Canis lupus familiaris: one gene and its partners. The protein of the gene in region 3 purifies or fractionates together with the protein of the main gene of each other region. This does not show direct contact. Links are inferred from orthologs where the notes say so. Each region holds a gene or a part of one and is shown on either strand. Other genes may lie near its edges.

The links.
Region 1: the proteins of FAM117B (region 3) and DYRK1A purify together in Homo sapiens (affinity purification with mass spectrometry; 8 studies listed by BioGRID and IntAct, counting the BioPlex papers as one, with this or other methods). This does not show direct contact. The link is inferred for Canis lupus familiaris from reciprocal best matches to the Homo sapiens genes FAM117B and DYRK1A.
Region 2: the proteins of FAM117B (region 3) and DCAF7 purify together in Homo sapiens (affinity purification with mass spectrometry; 3 studies listed by BioGRID and IntAct, with this or other methods). This does not show direct contact. The link is inferred for Canis lupus familiaris from reciprocal best matches to the Homo sapiens genes FAM117B and DCAF7.

The regions. Positions count from the first base shown.
Region 1 is NC_049252.1:32,306,375-32,312,950, forward strand, and holds part of DYRK1A (dual specificity tyrosine-phosphorylation-regulated kinase 1A), read left to right. Parts: intron 1-2,133; coding exon 2,134-2,420; intron 2,421-4,922; coding exon 4,923-5,069; intron 5,070-6,576. UniProt on the Homo sapiens protein: Dual-specificity kinase which possesses both serine/threonine and tyrosine kinase activities. Exhibits a substrate preference for proline at position P+1 and arginine at position P-3.
Region 2 is NC_049230.1:15,360,236-15,367,573, forward strand, and holds the start of DCAF7 (DDB1- and CUL4-associated factor 7), read right to left. Parts: upstream 3,779-7,338; 5' UTR 3,649-3,778; coding exon 3,511-3,648; intron 1-3,510. UniProt on the Homo sapiens protein: Involved in craniofacial development. Acts upstream of the EDN1 pathway and is required for formation of the upper jaw equivalent, the palatoquadrate. The activity required for EDN1 pathway function differs between the first and second arches.
Region 3 is NC_049258.1:11,505,964-11,512,539, reverse strand, and holds part of FAM117B (protein FAM117B), read right to left. Parts: intron 3,288-6,576; coding exon 3,144-3,287; intron 1,821-3,143; coding exon 1,595-1,820; intron 1-1,594.

The DNA of each region.
Region 1 (6,576 bases), on a different chromosome or scaffold from region 3:
CAGTTAAAAAGATAGGTAAATATATTTGTGCTTGAAATTTCTTTGACAGTGTCTTTAGCTCAGCACATTGTAGATAGATACTCAGTAAATGAATAATGAATTGGGAAGTCAAGTGGAACCAAGTAGATTGATCTTCCATTGGAAGAACTTTCTTTTTTTGAGTAGGCTCCATGCCCAATGTGGGGTTTGAACTCGTGACCCTGAGATCAAGAGTTGGGTGCTTTACTGACTGTGCTAGCCAGGCGCCCCCACTGTAGAACTTTCTAATCACAGAGCTGCTGCTGCTTCTTTTTTATTTTTTTTTAATATTTTATTTGTTTATCAATGAGAGACACAGAGAGAGAGAGACAGGCAGAGACATAGGCAGAGGGAGAAGCAGGCTCCCCATGTGGGACTCAATCCCAGAACTCTGGGATCATGACTTGTTCTAAAGGCAGACGCTCAACCACAAAGCCACTCAGGTGCCCCTAATCACAGAGCTTCTTAAAAGAATTTTTATAATTACATTGGAATTCTGACATCAGTTACTTTTTTGCATTCTTTTTGTGGCTACTATCTAATCAAAATAAAACTCTTGACCATGTCTCTGGGGGTCCTTTTTTTTTTTTTTTTTTTTAAGATTTTATTTATTTATTCATGAGAGACACAGAGAGAGAGAGAAACAGAGACACAGGCAGAGGGAGAAGCAGGGGGAACTCTATCCCGTGACTCCAGGATCATGTCCTGGGCTGAAGGCAGGTGCCAAACCGCTGAGCCACCCAGGGATCCCCTCTGGGGGGTCTTTATTGCATGTGGAGCTGTTTTTAATATTAAACCTGTGAACCTCAGTGATTATTAAGAGCAGATATTGTACATTCTTATGTAACCTTTAAAGATTCTTTTTATTTGTTGAGTGTTGAGTTGTACTGTAGACTCCTGTAGAGTCATTTAGTATTTGTATTGTTCTTTATCCTAACTTTGGATCATATGTATCAAGAATGATGTAAAAACAATCATGCACTGCTGTACTACTCAGGGGTAAAGGCAGTCCAGGACAACACAGTGTATTCCCCCTTTCTCAGGGACCAGACATCGAATACCACCATAGTTAGTTCCAGATAGATCTGTAGAGAAACTTTTGTTTTTATGAAACTAAAAGACCAAAATGAAGGTAACCTTGACAGATGGTGGTTTTATGTCATTCCAGTTGAGTTACAAGGGTTCAGTTTGGTATATATAAGATTTTTACAGGGAAGGGCAGCACTCTACTTTATTGAATGACCTCATCTGATGTGCAGTCAGTGTTAGTACTAAAAGCACAATCTTTGAAACAATTTAGTGAGTATTAAGCCTTTTTAGAGGGTCAACAGTGATCGCATGTAATGGCTTCTTACACTCTTTTTTCATTCATAAGTCTTATAATTTATTCTTGTGATTGAGCTTCATTTTCAAGTTTCCCCAGACCTTCTGTTTTGCACAAGATATCCCATATACCAGCTTGATGAACATAATCAGATGCCTTGATTATGAACTCTAATATCTTGTAAAGCATGCTTTTCAAATATTTGCTGTATTTGCCTAAAAGAAAAAAAGATCTATGTCTTCCTTTGACAATTGTTGCAGGAAATTACTAGTGAGATGTAAGGCTCAGCACAGCGGAATGTGGATATGTATCAGAGCCGGAAAGCCTTCCCAGAGAGAGCTGCCAAGTACGGCACTGTCACAACCTGGAGATCCCCGTGGGTGGAGCTTAGATGAAGTTTTGAGGTTGGGCTCTCAGGAAGTAAAAAATGCGTTCTTGTAGAAGTGAGCATAAAGTTACTGAAGTATTCTCAGTTCTGTTTGTCACTTTGCTACTTGTGTTTCCAGATCTGACTTCATTTTTTTTTTTAAACAAAACGTTTTGGTGGTACTTCTAACATTATATTGCTTATTGGCAGATACCACACCTGTTTAATTCAGCAGACAAACAATTTAGATATTCCTGATTATAGATTGTGCTATTATTGCAGAATGCCGATCTCCAAATTTTAACTTGATTTTCACTCTCCATTTGACATTGAAATGTTGTAGATTGTTTGAGAGTTCGTGCATACATTAGTCTCATTTTATTGGTGTGTATAATTTAAAATGAAACTTTTTTTTCTCTTTCAGTGCATTTGAAACGCCACTTTATGTTTCGAAACCATCTCTGTTTAGTTTTTGAAATGCTGTCCTACAACCTCTATGACTTGTTGAGGAACACCAATTTTCGAGGTGTCTCTTTGAACCTAACACGAAAGTTTGCACAGCAGATGTGCACTGCACTGCTTTTCCTCGCGACTCCAGAACTTAGTATCATTCACTGTGACTTAAAACCTGAGAATATCCTTCTTTGTAACCCCAAACGCAGTGCAATCAAGATCGTTGACTTTGGCAGTTCTTGTCAGTTGGGGCAGAGGGTAAGTATATTTTAGGACTTGGGAATTAAGACAATTAAATAAAATAGTGTTGTTAGATATTGAAGTGTTATTATTTATATCTAATTTGGAAATAATTTCAGGATGGTTCTATTTAAAATGTGCCGCTTGAATCACATTGTGTTAAGCCTATTGTGAGGGAAATCTCTCTTAAAATGCAAATATAAGATTCTGAATTAGAAGGTATTAGTTTTTTAAAAGTGGATTTGAAAAAAAAAGTCATGTATGCCTAAAAGGGAGAGAGAATAGGAGATGAGTGAATTAAATATTAGGTGATTTGTAGCTATATTCTGTAAGTAACGGGTTTAGTATGAATTTGGGGATTTCCCAGTACTAGAACACTGAATCTGTGCTATGAAATACTTCTTGAAAGGTAGATCAAAATAAATGTTTTCTTTAAAAACTGATGTGTTACAGTATAGGTTATTTTGCATTACACATGGTGATATAGTACAGAAATTACACAGTTGGTTAGACATACTTGTTTTGATAAATAAATGTAAGTCTCTTTTTCCCTATATAAATTTTGACACGTGTCCTAACTGGTTTTCCTCAGACTGCTAAAAACAGACCTATCTGTAGCAATAAATAGATTCAGGTTTAGCTAAGAAACCAGATTTTTCCTGCTCTTCTTTCTAGTGTTACAAAAGCTACTCTTAACAGTGTTGCACATATAAAACAGAAGTGATAGGTTACTCTTTTCTTGAAAGGAATTAAAATCATTTAATAATATTTTGTTCGTTTTTGAACCCTGTTCCTGTTTACTTGAAAGTGCTGAAACTGCATTTCTTGGGGGAAAAACATGAAAAACCACAACTAACATTCAGATACTATTATGTATTGGCTTTCTAGTTTTCTTTTTTCCAAATTAGTGAGAGTCTTGTCCTGTGCAGTTTTTTCCCCATGTTTTAAATATGGCTGGTTATTTTAATCATGAAGATTTATAGTCAGCTCACAGGGTTATCTGGCTTTTTTTTTTCTGCAACTTACTCATGGTAGCAGTGTTCTGTAAATCACTGAGATAAATTGAAGGATTAGAAAGCAAAGTTTGCAGTTTCAGATGCCCCTGAAAATCAGAAGATGTGCATAGTTGTTCATGTGGGTAAAGTATATCGTGAGTGGAAAACACATGCCCATCTTGAGAGTCCTTTGAATGGATTTGGATTTGGAAAAATTTCCCCCCCTTTTAAATAAAATCATATGTTCTGTACTAATACCAAATACTATTATGTCTCACCAGCCAAACTAAGACAATTAACCCTTTAGCTCAGTGAGGTTTAAACTATGTGGGTTTATCAGATTAGAATGAGAGGTCCTTTCTAAAATACACATGTGGTGGCCTTACCCTAGATCTACAGTCTCAGTCTCAGAAGGTGGCAGGGCTGGTGTATTTCAGGGGATTTAGGTGCACAGCGTTGGAGATAACCAGACGGAATAGGTGAGAAACAGACTTCTTGCAGAAGCTGTGCAATAAGACGATCTCAGTAGTAGGGAGTCTTTGGGGCTTTACCGATGCTGTTGGCCTATAGAAACTTGGAAATGTAGTAACTTCCTCCTGGCCCTTTTGAATTTCAGTTTCTTCACTCTGATACAGCATTAAGGTTGAGGTGACCAGCTTATGGGGGCATCAGATTACTCTTGGAGATTTGGCTGGAGTTTTAGATGGGAGCCACAAAAGTATTCATGAGAAAGCAGCACCATGCTGATTGATGGCTGCCTAGTTTGAGTGTTAAGTGAGGATGTTTAATTAGGATTTTGTTTGTTTCTTTCTCTTTTTAAATAAAACTTTCTTTGCTTTCATGATATTTCTAGATACAAATTTACAGGGGCTAAGGGAAGATGAATTGGTCTTTCAAGATATTCTCGATTACTTCATTGAAAATTATCCATTTCAAGATTTTCTTTTTCTAAGAGGCCTTAGATTGAGGTGGAAGGGGACAGTATAGGGAAGAAGTGATTGGTCAGAAACGACTCCCAGTTGTTTTTCCAATTTATCTGTGTGGTTAGTACATCTGAATTTTCATTTACGTTGTACTGAGTCTATTTGACTTAATGCTAAAAAACATTCTTTAGGTTAATTTAGATACAATTGAGGCCTTAAATTTATGGTTAACCAAATGCCAGCCGGAGCAGGAAAGAAGAATTAATAGGGAAACAAACGGTTTTCAATAATAATCTTTTTTCTGATGAGGCATAATTATTTGTTTTAAAGGTGTGTATTTTGATTACCAGTTAGGATTGGAATAAATGGAAGGACTTGAATTGTGTATGTTTTGCATTTCACAGTCAAGAGTAACTGCTCTCTTGAAGTGTTTAGTTATTTAAACATTATTTGTAGTAGCAAGTTGAAAGCTGTCAACAGAACCTAAATTCAGGGGATAGGTGGTTACTTTTTCTGGTAATATTAGATAGATGTACTTCAGCGTTGAGCATAATTAAACAAAACTTATGCTGGAATTAACATGATACTGACATGTATTTCAGATATACCAGTACATTCAGAGTCGCTTTTACCGGTCTCCAGAGGTGCTGCTGGGAATGCCTTACGACCTTGCTATCGATATGTGGTCCCTTGGGTGTATTTTGGTTGAAATGCACACTGGAGAACCTCTGTTCAGTGGAGCCAATGAGGTATATAATGGATTGCTTTCAAAACTCTTTTTTCACAGTTTGTTTTTGATTGTAATCTGTGACAGTGTAATCTGAAAATTGTTTTTTAGAAAAAGATGCCTACTTACCAATTTAAATATTCAAATGTTGGGTCAGTCTTTAATTTGCATTTATCCATTTTTAAATTTTTTCAATTATCCTAATGGGGAATTTAGGATTTTGAGATGGGGGTGAGATTTTTTAATTTGCTGGTAAGAACAGTAAGTTAGTTTAGAAAATGTTAAGCCTTTTGATTTATATTTTACAGATTTTCAGTATAACAAAAATAATGATAAAAGGCCTGAGGGACACTCTGAAAACAATGTAAACATCACTGTGTAAATTTTGAGAATATGATTTGGAATAAAGAAGTGATGACCAGTAGCCTTAAATTGGGTATTTGATCTGAATAATTGAGGGTGAATTAAGATGATAGAATTTTAGAGCTACACACTATGTGTAATTATTCTAATTCATGGGTTTTCAGTCTATGTTCTTAGAAGATGTTTGGGGATCAGAGCCAGTGCCTAGGAGGGCATGGGAGAGTCATACTCTCTGGCAGTCAGAGGAATTGGCCTTTCATTGGTTTAAAACCTTGTGAAGTTTTCATTTTTTAAAGAAAAGTTACGCATTACAGATCTTGATCAGTCCATGCATTTATAAATAAGAGAGAATGGCCAACGAAATTTAATGACTTACTTATACTGGGTTATATAGCTGTTAGTATCGTATCAGAAACCTGTCCCTTCCATCTTGCTAATTCACTCGAACTATAGGTTGTGAGCCACTCATGGGCAGTAACTGGCATAGTGTGTGTTTGATAATGTTTCGTTATAAAATACAATTATATTCTCTTAAATCACCTGAAACTTCAGTGGCTTCCATTTTATTCATTGTAAAATCCAAGTCCTTTGAGTGGCTCGAAAATCCCCCCACTCCCTCTACCTCCTGCCTCCTCTGTGCAGTGTTGCCTCCCTTACTTTCTCTGCCAGCACACAGCCTTACTCTGTGGTCCCTTGGAAACAGTAGCCACAGGCCCAGACTAACTGAGGCCTTTGCATTAGTTCTTCCCTGTGCCTTAGAGGCCCTTCCCCAGGGGGCATGTGGCTCTTCCCTCCTGGCCACAGATCTTCAGCTCCTCCGTCTTCTCCGTGATCCTCTAGTACCAGTGGATGACAGTACCCTGTCACTCTCCATCCCTTTTCCTTCCTCCATAGGTCTTAGTTGCCATGGACAAAATATATTTAACTGTGTATTTGTCTATTATTGATCTCTTCCCTCTATGATACCAACTTTTTGGCAGTGATTTTTATCTGTTTTATTTATTGCTCTGTGTATGGTTTCTAGCATGTAGTAGACACTTGTATTTGAGCGAATGAATCTGTGCTTAAAAATATACTTTATTCGGTCCACACTTTATTAAGCCTCTGGGATTTTTTTTTTTTTTTTGATGGTTATTTGATTTTATGTGTTTAATTGTCTGCCCTGT
Region 2 (7,338 bases), on a different chromosome or scaffold from region 3:
TTCCTGCCTCTGGTCAGCAGATGCCCAAGTAATCCTAGGGTAATGTTCTTAGAGTGCCATCTGGACCACCTATTTCTGATTCAGTTGAGCGTCTGTTAACTTCAGAAGTGGAGCCCAGGAATGTGCAAATCCCTCAGAGGAATCTCAAACACACTAAAATTTAGAAAACCATCACTCCAACACCAATGCTGCTATATCCCCCCGTAGAGACCACAAAAAGATGAAACACAAATATGATAATGAGACTTCTTATTCCAAATGTAGATGATAGAATCTGGCTCTTTACTCTAAAACAATTCCCAAATTTATTCAGATGATGGAACACTTGAAAGTCAAGTTGTTGAAATACTAATAAAATTTATTTCTACTAAACTACAAATACAAATAATTTTACTATAGGAAAAATATGATTACATTACTACAAACCTTTTAGAAATTATAATCATGTATTCTGATGTCAGTGTCTCCACAATAAAAAAGATGACCATTTCTGGATCATCTTTTTTTTTCATCATTTCTTTTTCATCAATGTTAAAAGCTGTGTCCATTTATTTTGCCCTCTGCTGGTAATCACTATCGACAGCAAGCAGGTAACAAAGATCTGAAAATTCCAACCAATAACTTTTAAATTTCTCTAAATTGTGAAGTCCAGCACCTTCTTGGTAAAAGTTTTGTCCAAAACTGAGCCTAAGAGGCATTGTGTTAGAGTGGTATTTACTACTCACCAGCCCCTAGACACAGATCCTTTACATCAGGGTTTAACTTGAGGTCCATGAACTTGAACTGGAAAATCACATTTTGTATTTTCACTAACCTCTGGCTGAAATTTAGCATTTCCTTCCATTATGAAGGGAGACAACTACTGACAACCAAGTCAATATCTGACTTTGTCACTAACAGAAATCATATTTTTATCATATCACATTACTATAATTAACCATCTTGAAATGCTATTTATCCTCACACTACTTTAAAATTATAGTCATATTTACACTGGATGGTGTAATCTAATGAATTAATTAAAGAGTACAGGGGCACCTGTGTGGTTCAGTCAGTTGGGTGTTCAACTCTTGGTTTTGGCTCAGGTCATGATCTCAGGATCATGCTCAAGCCCCATCCAGGGGCTCTGCACTCAGCAGGGAGTCTGCTTGAGATATTCTCTCTCTCTCTGGACCTCCCCCACTCCCTAAAAAAAAAGTACCTGTTACTATAACTCCACTTTTTAAAAAATGTTTTTGATAACTGTAGTTCAATATAATCAATTTCCTTCGTAATCCTATGTATTTTATGCATTTGAAAATGGAATTATGAAAAGAGGTCTACTGGCTTCAGATTCCCAAGGTGTCCATAGCATGCATACGTCCGCATATATACATACACACGTTAAGAACCCTGACTTAGAGAAGTTGGGGCACAAAAAAAGCTTTAAGGTACTGGCTTGCCTACATCATGCCCATGAGTTAAGATAGAAATAACTGCTTATCTCATGATTACTGGGATTATCAGTTTACATTTCACTACTGAGACCCATAGTTCCTGTGTGCCTGGCACAAAGGAGTTCCACTAGGTTGCTAAATGAAAGGACAAACTTTGGGGTAGAGTTCCTATAAGTGAGGTTAACCCCAGTTACTTCACTGATTGTACCAGGAGCCTAACTGTGGCTTAGCTCCTCCTTTCTTAGAAATGAGGCAGCTTCATCTTACCCAAATTGACTCTGAAAGACCTTATGAGAAAAAAGGGGCCACCAATTTGAGTAAAAAAAACTCGAGCCCTATGAAAGATATATTTTACTGTTTTTTTTTTAAACACATATTCTTAAATAATAGTTCTAGTGGTCTCAATTTTACTAACATAGTTTCCACATCAGGACCTTGAATTCCATTCCATTCTGCTATCCACTATGGGGCATAAGGAAGTGGGAGCCAATACAGAAAATAAAACTATGTCTTGCTCAGGACTCTCTGCTTTCTGTAGAAATAGGGAGACTTCAGTATCAGTGTGTAGTCCCTGGGATTTGTGTGTAAATTGTGTATATTATATCGGGGCAATGAGAGTCCTTCGTTTTCATCAGTTTCTCAAAGGGGATTCTAGAGGGACACCTGGGTGGCTCAAACAGTTCAACATCTGCCTTCGGCTCAGGTAATGATCTCAGAGTGCTGGGATAAAGTCCTACAATGGGCTCCCTGCTCAACGGGGAGAGTTTGCTTGTCCCTCTCCCTCTCGCACCCCCAGTTCATGCATGCAAAGTTGAGACCTAGACTCTAGAGAAATGCTTCTGGAAAACTGTAAACAAACTTACAATGCACAAATGTTTTTTGATAAGACCTTTATGTGTAAAAAAGAACTCTTCCTACAACAAACTGTAGGTCAGAAATAATAAGATTAACCTGTGCAACACCCCACAGCTATTTAGTGGACTAGACAGAACCAAATTCCACTTGGCTTTTTCCCCTGCACCATGCCTATCACTGTACACACAGTTTTATTCTTGAGCCATGATGTTCATGGTGTCAAGCAGGAGTTGAAGAAGGCTTTAAACACCACTAGCCAAGGCTCTCAGTTGCTCTGTTCTCACTCTCACAGTGTTTAATACAGCAAGTAGAAAGATTAAGGGATAAAGGAAATAAAATTCTTCCTACGGACATATTCAACAACTTTCAAAAATATATTGATGCTGCAATGTCCGCTAAAAAGATTCTTCCTATTGTCTGTGCATCTATGAAAGATCCTCAAATTGTCAATGTCCAGAAAGTCTTACTACTCAAGTTACACTTTTGCATCAGCATGAAAGAAGCCAAGAAAAGGTAAGGAACGTGTCCTCCTTCTCTATTCTGAAATAGAATTATCTGAAAACGTGGCAGGATCACGGTCACAGAACAAAACTTCCAAAAAGAGATCGCTTTTAAGAGGACAGATACGAGGCAGCAACAGCAGTTAACACTCCCAGCAGAAGAGCCGGGGAGGGGGAATCCATGAATAGCACCTGAGGATGGGAGTAGGAGGCGGGGAAGCCTGCACACTGAACAGCCCTAACAGAAATCTAGCGTGGCCAAGAGTGTATGACCACCGACTGAGGCGCCAGCACCTTTCTTCACAGCCATCCCTCTCTCTTCCCCTGTCCGCCCCCCAAGTTGAAGCAAAGCGGCGGGAAGAGAGAGAACTGGAGTGATAAATGACGTAGCCCTTGGGGGGATAAAGTCGAGTTTGAGTGCCATTTCCCCGCGAAATAACTGTCTGACTCGGGCAAGTCACAACACGGTGCCTCAGTTTCCCCATAAGTAAAACGCGGGGGGGGGGGGTAATTACACTCCTGACTACATAGGAATGCTGTCAGGATTAAACGAAACAATGAGTGCGAAAGCTTCTGCACAGGGCCAGACTCTGACGAACCACTCCGGGAGCGCTAAGGCAAGTCCGCAGCAGGGTCCCGGGGTCTGGGCTCCGGCCCGGAAAGGGTGCTCCCGGGGCCCGCTCCCCGCCAGCTGGGTTCCGAGCCCCTGCCCGGCCCACCTTGTTGTTGTACTCCTCCACGAAGCTGCCCAGCGCCAGACGAAAGCGCTTGTCGGGCCGCACGCTCCAGTTCATGGCGTAGACGGTCCAAGGCGCTTCATACTTGTAGATCTCCTTCCGTTTGCCGTGCAGGGACATGGTGGCGGCGGCGGGGCCGCAGTGCGGGCCGGGACGACAGCGAGCTGCTGCGGGCCGGGCGCGAGTCAGGCGGGGAGCCGGGCCTGAGACTGAGGGGTCCGCAGGGAGGCGGGGAGGGGGCGGGCAGGGACGGCCTAGCCCGGAAGCGGGGCCGCGGCGACAGACAACGACCGCCGGGCCCGACCCCTAGTTTCCAACCCGCTTCGGCTCGGACAACAGCCACCTTCCGTTTGAAGCCCCGCCCCGCCCTCCTGAAACGGAAGCCACGCGACCCCCGTGGCGGCGCCGGCCGTTGGCTGCCTGACTTGTTTTTTCAAAAGGTTCCTTCTCCTCATTGGCTAGGGCAGCCGTAGCTTCTGAAACTCTTTCCTATTGGCGTAAATGTCTGTCATTCCAATGACTTGCCCCGCCCTATTTCGGGGGGGCCGGCGCTTTCTCAGCCCCAAAGGTGATTGGCTGACAGGGATGTCAGTCAGAGAGATAACGGCGCAGTGCGGGTGAATGGGGGCGTGGGTGGCCTGGGGGCGAGCTAGCTGCGGCGGGGGCAGGCCTGCAAATTCTAGGCCAAGTCTCTGAGAGTGAAACCTCCTGCGTGACCTGCTCTGACTTTCTCGCTGCAGCTGACATTCCGAGCGGCTTCTCCACGCTGTCCAGTAGAAATTTACAGTCTCCCTTACCCGGGGGCCTGCGGCCTGACGGCCTGGCCAGAGCCAACGGGAATCACCCTAATCTCCTCCCGTAGACGGGGGGAGCTGCTCTCCCAGGATCCTCAAAGGGCAGGCGGCGGCGGACACGCCTTTGCAGACCGACCTGCATGTGTAGTCAGGCCTTCCTATGCTTTCCTGGCCATTCTAGAAATCCTCCGAATTTCAGCGTTGGTGAAAGTTAAGTCAGCGACCCAACTTGCCCTAAGTTTTTGTCGGTTCCCCTTCATTCCATGCCTTTCCCCGCAGCGGAGCCCAAGGAAAAAGCTGATCAAGCCCTTGCACAGATCTGTGTCCTCAGTTTGAAATGGAGAAGGGCGGGACGCCTGGGTGGCTCGGCGGCGGTTGGGCATCTGCCTTCGGCTCAGGGCGTGATCCTGGGATCTGGGATCGAGTCTTCCATCGGGTTCCCTGCATGGGGCCTGCTTCTCCCTCTGCCTATGTCTCTGCCTCTCTCTCTGTGTCTCTCATGAATAAATAAATAAATCTTAAAAAAAAAAATGTAATGGAGAAGGGCCCGATCTAGGTAACATCTCTTTATAGTTTAAATGGTTTCCAATGCTTTGCTTTCAACACAATGAAAGGAGAATCGTAGGACTAGATGATATCATTAAATATGGATTTAAATATAGTGGACTGTTGAACAACTCAAAGAATTGAGTGGCTGCTATATATAACAAACCCTGTAGTGGTCCATCTACTTTCTTGTTTGAGCACGTTTTCTCTGCTTAAGTTTGTGTGTGTGTGTGTTATTTTAAAGATTTTATTTATTTATTCATGAGAGACACGCACAGGCAGAGGGAGGGAGGGGCAGGCTCCCTGCGGGGAGCTTGATGTGGGACTTGATCCCTGAACCCCGGGATCTTGATCTGAGCCAAAGGTAGACAAGCTCAACCAAGAAGCCACCCAGGTGCCCCACTGCGTAAGTTTTTTTTAAAAAAGGAAAGAAAATGGATATAAAAGTGTTGCTAAACCTTGTCTCGTTCTAATAAAAAAGTGATGTTCATCCACACACGAGCTAATGAAAGGAAAAATAACCCACCCTAAACATGCATTTCCAATAAAATTTTAATTTCTATAAAACTTTTTAATATATTTGGAGCTCCTGGCTGGCTCATGTGGTAGGGCATCTGACTCTTGATGTCCAGGTCCTGAGTTCAAGCCACCCATTGGGTGTAGAGTTTACTTAAACAAACAAACAAAAAACTTAAAAAAGTAATTTTTAAAAATTTGAAATATATTTCTATTGAGCAACTCTGTACTAATAAGCATAATCCTTAAAGCCTTGTTAAGTTTACAAAAAAAAAATTTTAAGATTTTATTTATTTATTCATGAGAGACACAGAGAGAAGGCAGAGACATAGGCAGAGGGAGAAGCAGGCTCCCTGCAGGGAGCCAGATGTGGGACTTGATCCAGGAACTCAGGGATGACACCCTGAGTGGAAGGCAAAAGCAGAAGCTCAGCTGTTGAGCAACCCTGGCGTCTCCAAAAATTTAATTTTAAGATATATATATATATATTTGTTGCAAACAGTTATGATCAAGTTATCAATAATAGACCTTAACATGAAAATAAATTACATGTAGCATAAACTGTGGTAGGAATAGAATGGAATTATGAGAAGAGGAAAAGGAATAATGTTTTAAAAAATTTATTCTCATATTTTTTAAATGAATGATGCTAGGGGCCCCTGGCTGTCTCAGTCGGTAGACACGTGACTCTTGATCATAGGGTTGTGAGTTCAAGCTCCACATTGGGCATGGAGCCTACGTAACAACAACAAAAAAAGAATGGTGTTGGCTCTCAAAGCACTATGCTATGTGGGCCTAATTGGATCAATTTAAATGAAGCAATTTCTAAAGTATCAATATTCACAATACCCTGGAAATTACATGCTTGCAACTGGTTAAGCTTATCAATAAAATACTTCAAGTGTTAATTTAAAAATGTGTATGTGATAGGAGGGATTCATTTTCAAAATTCTTTCAAAGAACACCAAAAAAGGACTGAGGATCGGTGACCAGGTATTTTTTGGCCAGCTTATTTCACTGGAGTGATTAACTGCACGTGCTTTCAAGCCAGACCATCTGGGTTGAAAGTGTGTCCTTCTTTTCCCATGTTAGGCAAGATTCCTTTTTTTTAATTGAAGTATAATTTGCACATAGAAGTGCATGTATTTTCACAATCTGAAACACACTTATGTAACCAGAGACTGGATCGGTAAGCAGAACAGTACTAGCAGGGATGCCTGGGTAGCTCAGCAGTTGAGTGTCTGCTTCCAGCTCAGGGTGTGATCCCTGGTTCAGGGATGGAGTCCCACATTGGGCTCCCTGCAAGGAGCCTGCTTCTCCCTCTGTTTATGTCTCTATCTCTCTCTGTGTCTCTCATGAATAAATAAAATCTTAAAAAAAAAATAGAACAGTACTAGCACCCCAGAAGTTCCCCTTATGCTTTCTTAGCCTCTCTTCTCCTGATCCCTCATCTCTAAGATGGAACTAACAATATGAACCCCATAGGATTGTGGTGAGGCTTAGTGAACTCGTATCTGCAGAGCTGTCAGCAGGGTCCTGGCACAGGGTGAGCACTATGGAAGCTGGCTCTTGTCATGATTCTTGATGGTGACTAAGACAGAGCCTCTCCGTTTCCCTTTACCCCAGCCCGGTTAAAAGCCCCATGCTCCTGGGGCTCCTGGGCCCAGCAGAGTACCTTCAGGTCCACAACACACAAATCCTGTAAGAGGGACTTAAAGAAGACCACAGCACAGTCAAGGACTTGATGACCCTCAGGTAAATAACACACCCAGCCCAACGTGAAATGTGCAGACTTTATTAGCTGTGAGATATTCCACTGCTTGGTAGAGTCCCAAAGGTTATTATAGAACCATGAGGGGCAGAGTGGCTGGGGGCTGGAGCTCTGTGCCCTGATGTGTTCACCACAGAGGACATTTTCATCCCCAGCCAGTTCAAAGTCTCTTGACAGGAGATC
Region 3 (6,576 bases):
CTGGTTACAATCTCTGCTCCAGGTCGTCAGGAGTCTTCTATGCACTGTACGCCAAAGACTTCCTTTTGCCTATGAACTTCTCCATACCTGAAGAGGTCCATCTCTATTCATCCCCCAAAATTTCCTTCAAAGTCTAGCTCAAACTTTTGAAATCTCTTCAAATTAACCCTAACAAAAAAATATACTTCTTCGCTCTGGTATTTCTTGTTCAGTGTTCATATTCTCAGTTCCACTACATTAAAATTCCTGATATCTAAGTGTTCTAAATTTTCAGTGTGTCTATGTCAACTAAGCCATAAGTTTTTTGTAGGCAGTAGCACTGTGGCCTTATTTTCTTAGAAATTTCAAAAAACTAACCAGTCACATCTCTTAAAGTCAAATAAACCATTACACAAAATTCATGGAGTTTCAACTCGTTACTGAAAAATAGAAAGTATGGCATATTTTAATAACCATGTTTTTTAAAGGAAGTGTGTATGTGTTACATTTGATTGAGTACTAAGTACCAGGAGCCGTGCTAAATGGTCTGCATTTACTATTCCTTTTAATCCGAACAATAAGTCTAAATAGTACTTAATTATGCAGATTCCTGATAAGAAACACACAACCCAACCAAAGGATTTAATTCTGTGTCAGACCTGGGTGCACATTGGGAGCATCAAAAACTCTTGGAACTTGTATCTCAACCCGCGGGGGATTGTGATATAATTGGTGGAGAGTGCTGGCCTGGAGTATCCATATTTTACTTAATTTAGAAGCTGGTAAAAAAAAAAAGGGTCCAAATAATAACATTTACAACTGCCATAGATAGCTTTAACTGACATCTTCAGGAACTCTTAAGATTGTCTGCACTTGTTACAGTCTCAGTAATTTAGGTGATTGATGGTGATGGTCAATTGTAACTTTTTAGGACATTCAAGGCACTTGTAAGAGGTTTGAAATAAATGATTACTGAGCTCAGCTGCAGAATTTACAAATATATTATTGCCCTCAAGTACACATAGTACCTTGGGTTAGGCTAACAAAATATTGCCCCAATATAGACAGATGACAGGTCATGTTTGTTTTAAAAAGCAAGAGAGGGGCAGCCTGGGTAGCTCAGTGGTTTAGCGCCACCTTCAGCCCAGGGCGTGATCCTGGAGATCTGGGATGGAGTCCCACATCAAGTTTCCTGCATGGAGCCTGCTTCTCCCTCTGCCTGTGTCTCTGCCTCTCTCTCTCTTTCTGTGTGTCTCTCATGAATAAATAAATAAAATCTTAAAAAAAAATTAATAAAAGGCAAGAGAGAACAAAGTGCTTTTCAAGACAAATGTTCATTTATACCAAAAGAATGTCTCTCACTAATAAGGAACTTGCATTAACAAGTGAAGAAAAAGAAAAATTACAAACAAAAGTCGACCCAACTAGACCATCACTTGAGCACTATAGTAAAACTGTTCTGCACTTAAATTTTTAAAAATCTATGTTAAGAATGCATGTCAAAGTAATTACGTTAGTGGCCTTAAGTGTGTCTGTTCTATTACAAAATGAACAGAATGAATGATACAGTAGGTGGTACTCCTTTATCTGGTAACAAGTCCCTCCTGCATTGTACCTTTATCCCTGGGATCAACAAGCAGGTCATCAGCTGAACAAGGGCTCTCTTCGCTACCTTCATTTGAGATGGTGAGGAAGGACGTGGGCGACACAGACTGAGAGCGGCTGCTGTCATTGCTTCCCCTGTCGGCACCCCCGGGGGTCTGCGTGTCAATGCTGCGTGTGCTGCTACTTCTCTGTACCAGCGGGGGAGGTGCACGATGGCCATCTGGAATATCTTGTGGCTGTTATAAAATTTTAAAAACATGTGTATTTATCATCAATTTTGAAATTCACCAGAAATGCACCTAATATCAACCTTCCCCTATTGTTCCAGATGACTCACAGGTCAGAAATGCCCCACTTATTAAGTCTAACGAGAAAAAAGCCTTTGTGTTGCACCATCAGTGACATTCCTGTCTAATGTGACTGCCCTACTGAACACAGAGCAGCAAATGCAAAGACTGTATTCCTAGGGTTAGTCACAGGACAGGTGTTCAATGCTTCCTGAATGATAAATTTCAATGAATTAGTTATCATGTTCTAAATATGTTTAAAATTGTCAAGTACTGCCATGGTAAAAGAGAAAGGAGGAATCTAGGCATAACACTAGGTTCCATATTAGAAGAGAATGTCATCCATTATATGAACTAGAGATACCTGATGACAGGTCCTGTTACCTTCTCCCCTGCCTACATCTCCCTGAGAAAGTTTTTCCAAAGATACCTTCCTAAATAAGGGAAACGTTAATGGTAGCAATGGTTATAGGGGGAAATCAAGGAGAACATTTAGAGGAAATCTTGTGTGGCTCACTTAATAGGAAAACCAGCTCCCCATACACCTTTGGTTCATTTATCTTTATTATTTCAGGGGGTTACTCCCATCATGCAGTATATGGACAAGAGGGTGTGGGAAGTTGTGTCTCCTCCAAGCTAAACCAACCTTTAATCTTCACAGAGAGGATCTTAAGCATCAATAAAATACTATTTCAAACTCCCCGATTCCTCTTTCACTGAAGAATGAAAGCTTAAATATACTCTGTGACATGCTTTTAAATATAAATAGGAAATTTTCTCACTGTGTCTTATGTATGAATCATTCTTATGTCTTATGTGCATTATAGGTAAGCAGAACTGCACTTCATGATCATAAAGTCAACCAAATAGTACTTCACAAACAAGAGGGAACAAGTAGATTCACGTTTAGAAAGTATTTGAAGTCACATCCCTCCCTCCCCAACAAATGTGCAATTTAAATTTTGTTACATGGAGTTATAGTAAATGAGAAGTGTTATCACCTGTCTAATGATTTTTAAATATGGATAAACAAAAAGTAGTTTCTGTTCAAGGATCTAAACTTAAGTCATATCAGTTGTCTCTATGAGATGCAAAGAAATGAAAACTTTTCATTCACTTGCCAAGGTCAAAGTTTTCCAAAAGAGACAAATTTTCATTCTCTCTCAACGAGAAGGAAGAAACCTAAGTAAATATGGAAAATGAAATTGTAACTTTTTAAATAATTAGAACAGTTAACATGAAAGGACAATTTTAAGATACAAGATTACTTACTATAAGTTGTTCTTCCTTTTCTCCAGTCTCTTTAATTATTATTTCAATCTCCTGATTCAATCCTTCCACACTATTCCGGAACCGGGAGCCTGTTGATTTAGTGATGGGAATTACTGGAATAAGTGCACTCTTTGGAACAGGAGCCTGAAGAAAAAAAAAAAAAAACAGTAGAGGAGAGAAAAGAGAGCTTTAATATGTTACCTTTTAATTTTCCGGTTTGAAGCATAATTCCTGCTGACCTGAATAACTCTGAAATATATCAAAATTTAGTTTATAGGCCTCACAAAAAGCATGAGTAATCAAACACTCCTCAGTATACACAAAACATAATTTAAAGTAAAAGCTTCAGACTATCAAGGTAGAATTTCAGAAGTTTATTCACAACTATGAAGACTGTAAAGAGAGTAGGGATAAAGGAAAATATTAAAAGAACGTCAATCCCAGAAATTCTTCTAGGACTGTAACAGAGTTCAGATTTTTAGAACGTAACTTAAAAGTCTTCTAGTGCTCCAATTACCTAAACTCCAGGAAAGAAAATTTTCAAAAGGTGATTTATCAAAGACATAAAATTTTGTTTGGAAAAAACAAAATCAGTTCCAAAGTCCACATACAACAGCGAGAATGCAGAAATGAGAAGAACTTGCCTGTGAAATTTATTTATTCTTCCACTGTGATGATTTTAATATGTTTTGTTAAGGAAAGAAAATGATATAATTCATTTTTCTCTTTTGCCACTGGCATAGTATTATTTTTGAAAAGAAATAACTGATTACATAATTAAAGGATATTACATAGTTTCCTGACAAGATACTTGAAGTAAAATATGAAACAAAAATTACAGAGGTATCTGCTAAAGTTAACAGCAACAGTGTGCCAGAAGATCATTCTGCATATTGTCCTGCTATCTAGTAAAGAAATATAATTAACCCATCCTACATTTAGGGAGGTTTCTTTGAAAAACCTCTTTCAGGGGAAGATGGGCAAGGAGACAAAGGTAATAGGGCCTCCAATCATCACTAGTTCCCATTCAATGGGTATAAGCCTGTTGTCTGATATAAAACTAACTTAGTGTTAAACCTGCATTTCTCCTCTTTCATTCCTGCTCACCTTTATAAATTTTTTTTTCTAAAAATAAGCATAACACAACAATCCCTGGAAAAGGCAAGTCTCTGTCCTTGGAAAATTTGTGAGAAAAATGCCAAGAGGATGCTTCAATCTGGAGCAGACAAAGAAGGGATGGAAGTGAAGAGGGAATAGATAATGAGAAACGTGAGGGTATGGAGAGAAGATTGGGGAACAGAGGGACTAGAAAGGGGGGAAGTCAGAAGATACTACTAGAAGAAAATGATACTTGAAAAAGACTGCGAAAAGACAAAGTGTTTTAAGAATAAAATACATAATAGGGAGAACACAAAATAAAAGTTGTAGCTACTGTTTACTGAGCATCCATCCACTGTGGGCCAGACACCACATGTCCTCTCATTTCATTGTCAGGACCACTCTCTCTGAGGTGGGTTGCAGTGTTTCCCATGTTCCGTGCAGAGAAAGTGAGAGTTGGGGGCCCAAGAGTAAGTAATGTTGCCTCTTAGGCATCTCCTTACTGCCACTGCCTAAAATAGAGTCTGGATCAGACATGATGCTTGTTCAACAAGGCTAGTGCTATGAACTGAAAGTCTGCATCCTCCTTTTAAAATTCCTGTGCTGAAGCTCTAACCCCAATGTGGCTATTACTTGGAGATGGGGGCTATAAGGAAATAATTAAGGTAACATAAGAATGGGGACCTGATCTAATATAAGAAAGGAAATAGGTGACAGGAAACAGATTCCGACTAAGACAGTTAGAGGTTAAAGAAATCTATAGCTCAACTAGTCTGGAGTGGAGAGTGTATTAGAACATTTCTATCACACACTCATCCTACCTATAACTAAACACTTCCTGCGTCAACAAATAATGGCAGAAAACTGGTACAGACCAAGAAAGATCTCAGGGGTTAGTATATATTCACAAATAGATTTTTTTTTAACTCTTAAGCTTAATTTTCTTTTCTCAATGTCACAAACAAAACAAATAGCTTGCACTGGATGCCATTTTCAGGGCACTCCCAGATATGTATTTGGTTTAAAACTGTTAAATTACAGAATTGAAGAAGGAGAATAGAAAGAGAAGATGCTCTGACAAGATTTTTATAAAATGTTGACCCTCTTGGATTTTTTTTTTTTAAGATTTTGTTTATTTATTCATGAGAGACACACAGAGAGAAGCAGAGAAACAGGCAGAGGGAGAAGCAAGCTCCATGCAGGGAGCCCGATGTGGGACTCGATCCGGGACTCCAGGATCACGCCCTGAGCCAAGGCAGACGCTGAAACCACTGAGCCACCCAGGCGTCCCCCTTCTTGGATTGTAGAACCATAAATATCTTAAGAACAGAAAGCTTAAGGTTTCTGGCTGTTATGTTGGGATATGCACATACATAGAAACCTACCAGTGTCATAACCAATTGTACACCTAGTTACTGCTTGTCAAAATAGCTAAGGAGTCATGCTCTACATAGCTGGTAAGTTTTTCTCAAATATAGTCTAAACAGCAAGTATTTACCAATAGTTTAATCTATTTAAAGCAAAGGAAAAAAAAAAAAAAGAAGGAAAAGAAAAAAACTGCCTAAGGTTCACACAGCATTTTAGGTAAATGAAGCAAAGGTTCAACTATAATTAATTTAAATAGTTACAGGATTATAGGAAAAATAATCCACTAAAACTGCTTGGGAAAGATTTTCCTCATTTAAACATACTATTATTGTTCCAGAAATAGAAGGTAATAGGCCTCTGGTTTTATTCCTCACATAAACCATACTCTAAAATATCTTTAAAAAAAAAAATCCTTATACTTAAACTTCCATGCTTCATTTCAAGGACTCTTAAGGAATTTTACATGCATGTGGCATATAATTTATTTTTCTATACCTATATGTTTCTGTAATAAAATCTGTACTTCTAAATATAAATCAATATATGCAAATATAAGTGAGTTATCATATTAACTGAGAGATCATCTTTAGACAGCTCTGAAAGATTAAAAGTTCACTGTACTAAGGTAAAATCTCCCTGTCCTTTGGAAACATCAAGAACAAGATCTCCTATTTTCTCAGCTTTTGTTTCTTTTTCTTCAAATCAGAATATTTTCCAATCAATTAAGGGTTTTAATTAGATGAATCACCATTTTAAAGTTTTATTTTTCCATTTACATTCTCCATATGTCTATATAACATTACAGTTTAAACATCAAATTCTGCCTGAGGTGGGGTGGCTCAGTCAGTTAAAGCATCTGCCTTCAGCTTGGGTCATCTCAGGGTTCGGGAACTGAGTCCTTCATTGGGCTCCCCGTTCAGCAGAAAGTCTGCTTCTCGCTCGCTCTCCCTCTCCCACCCACCCCACT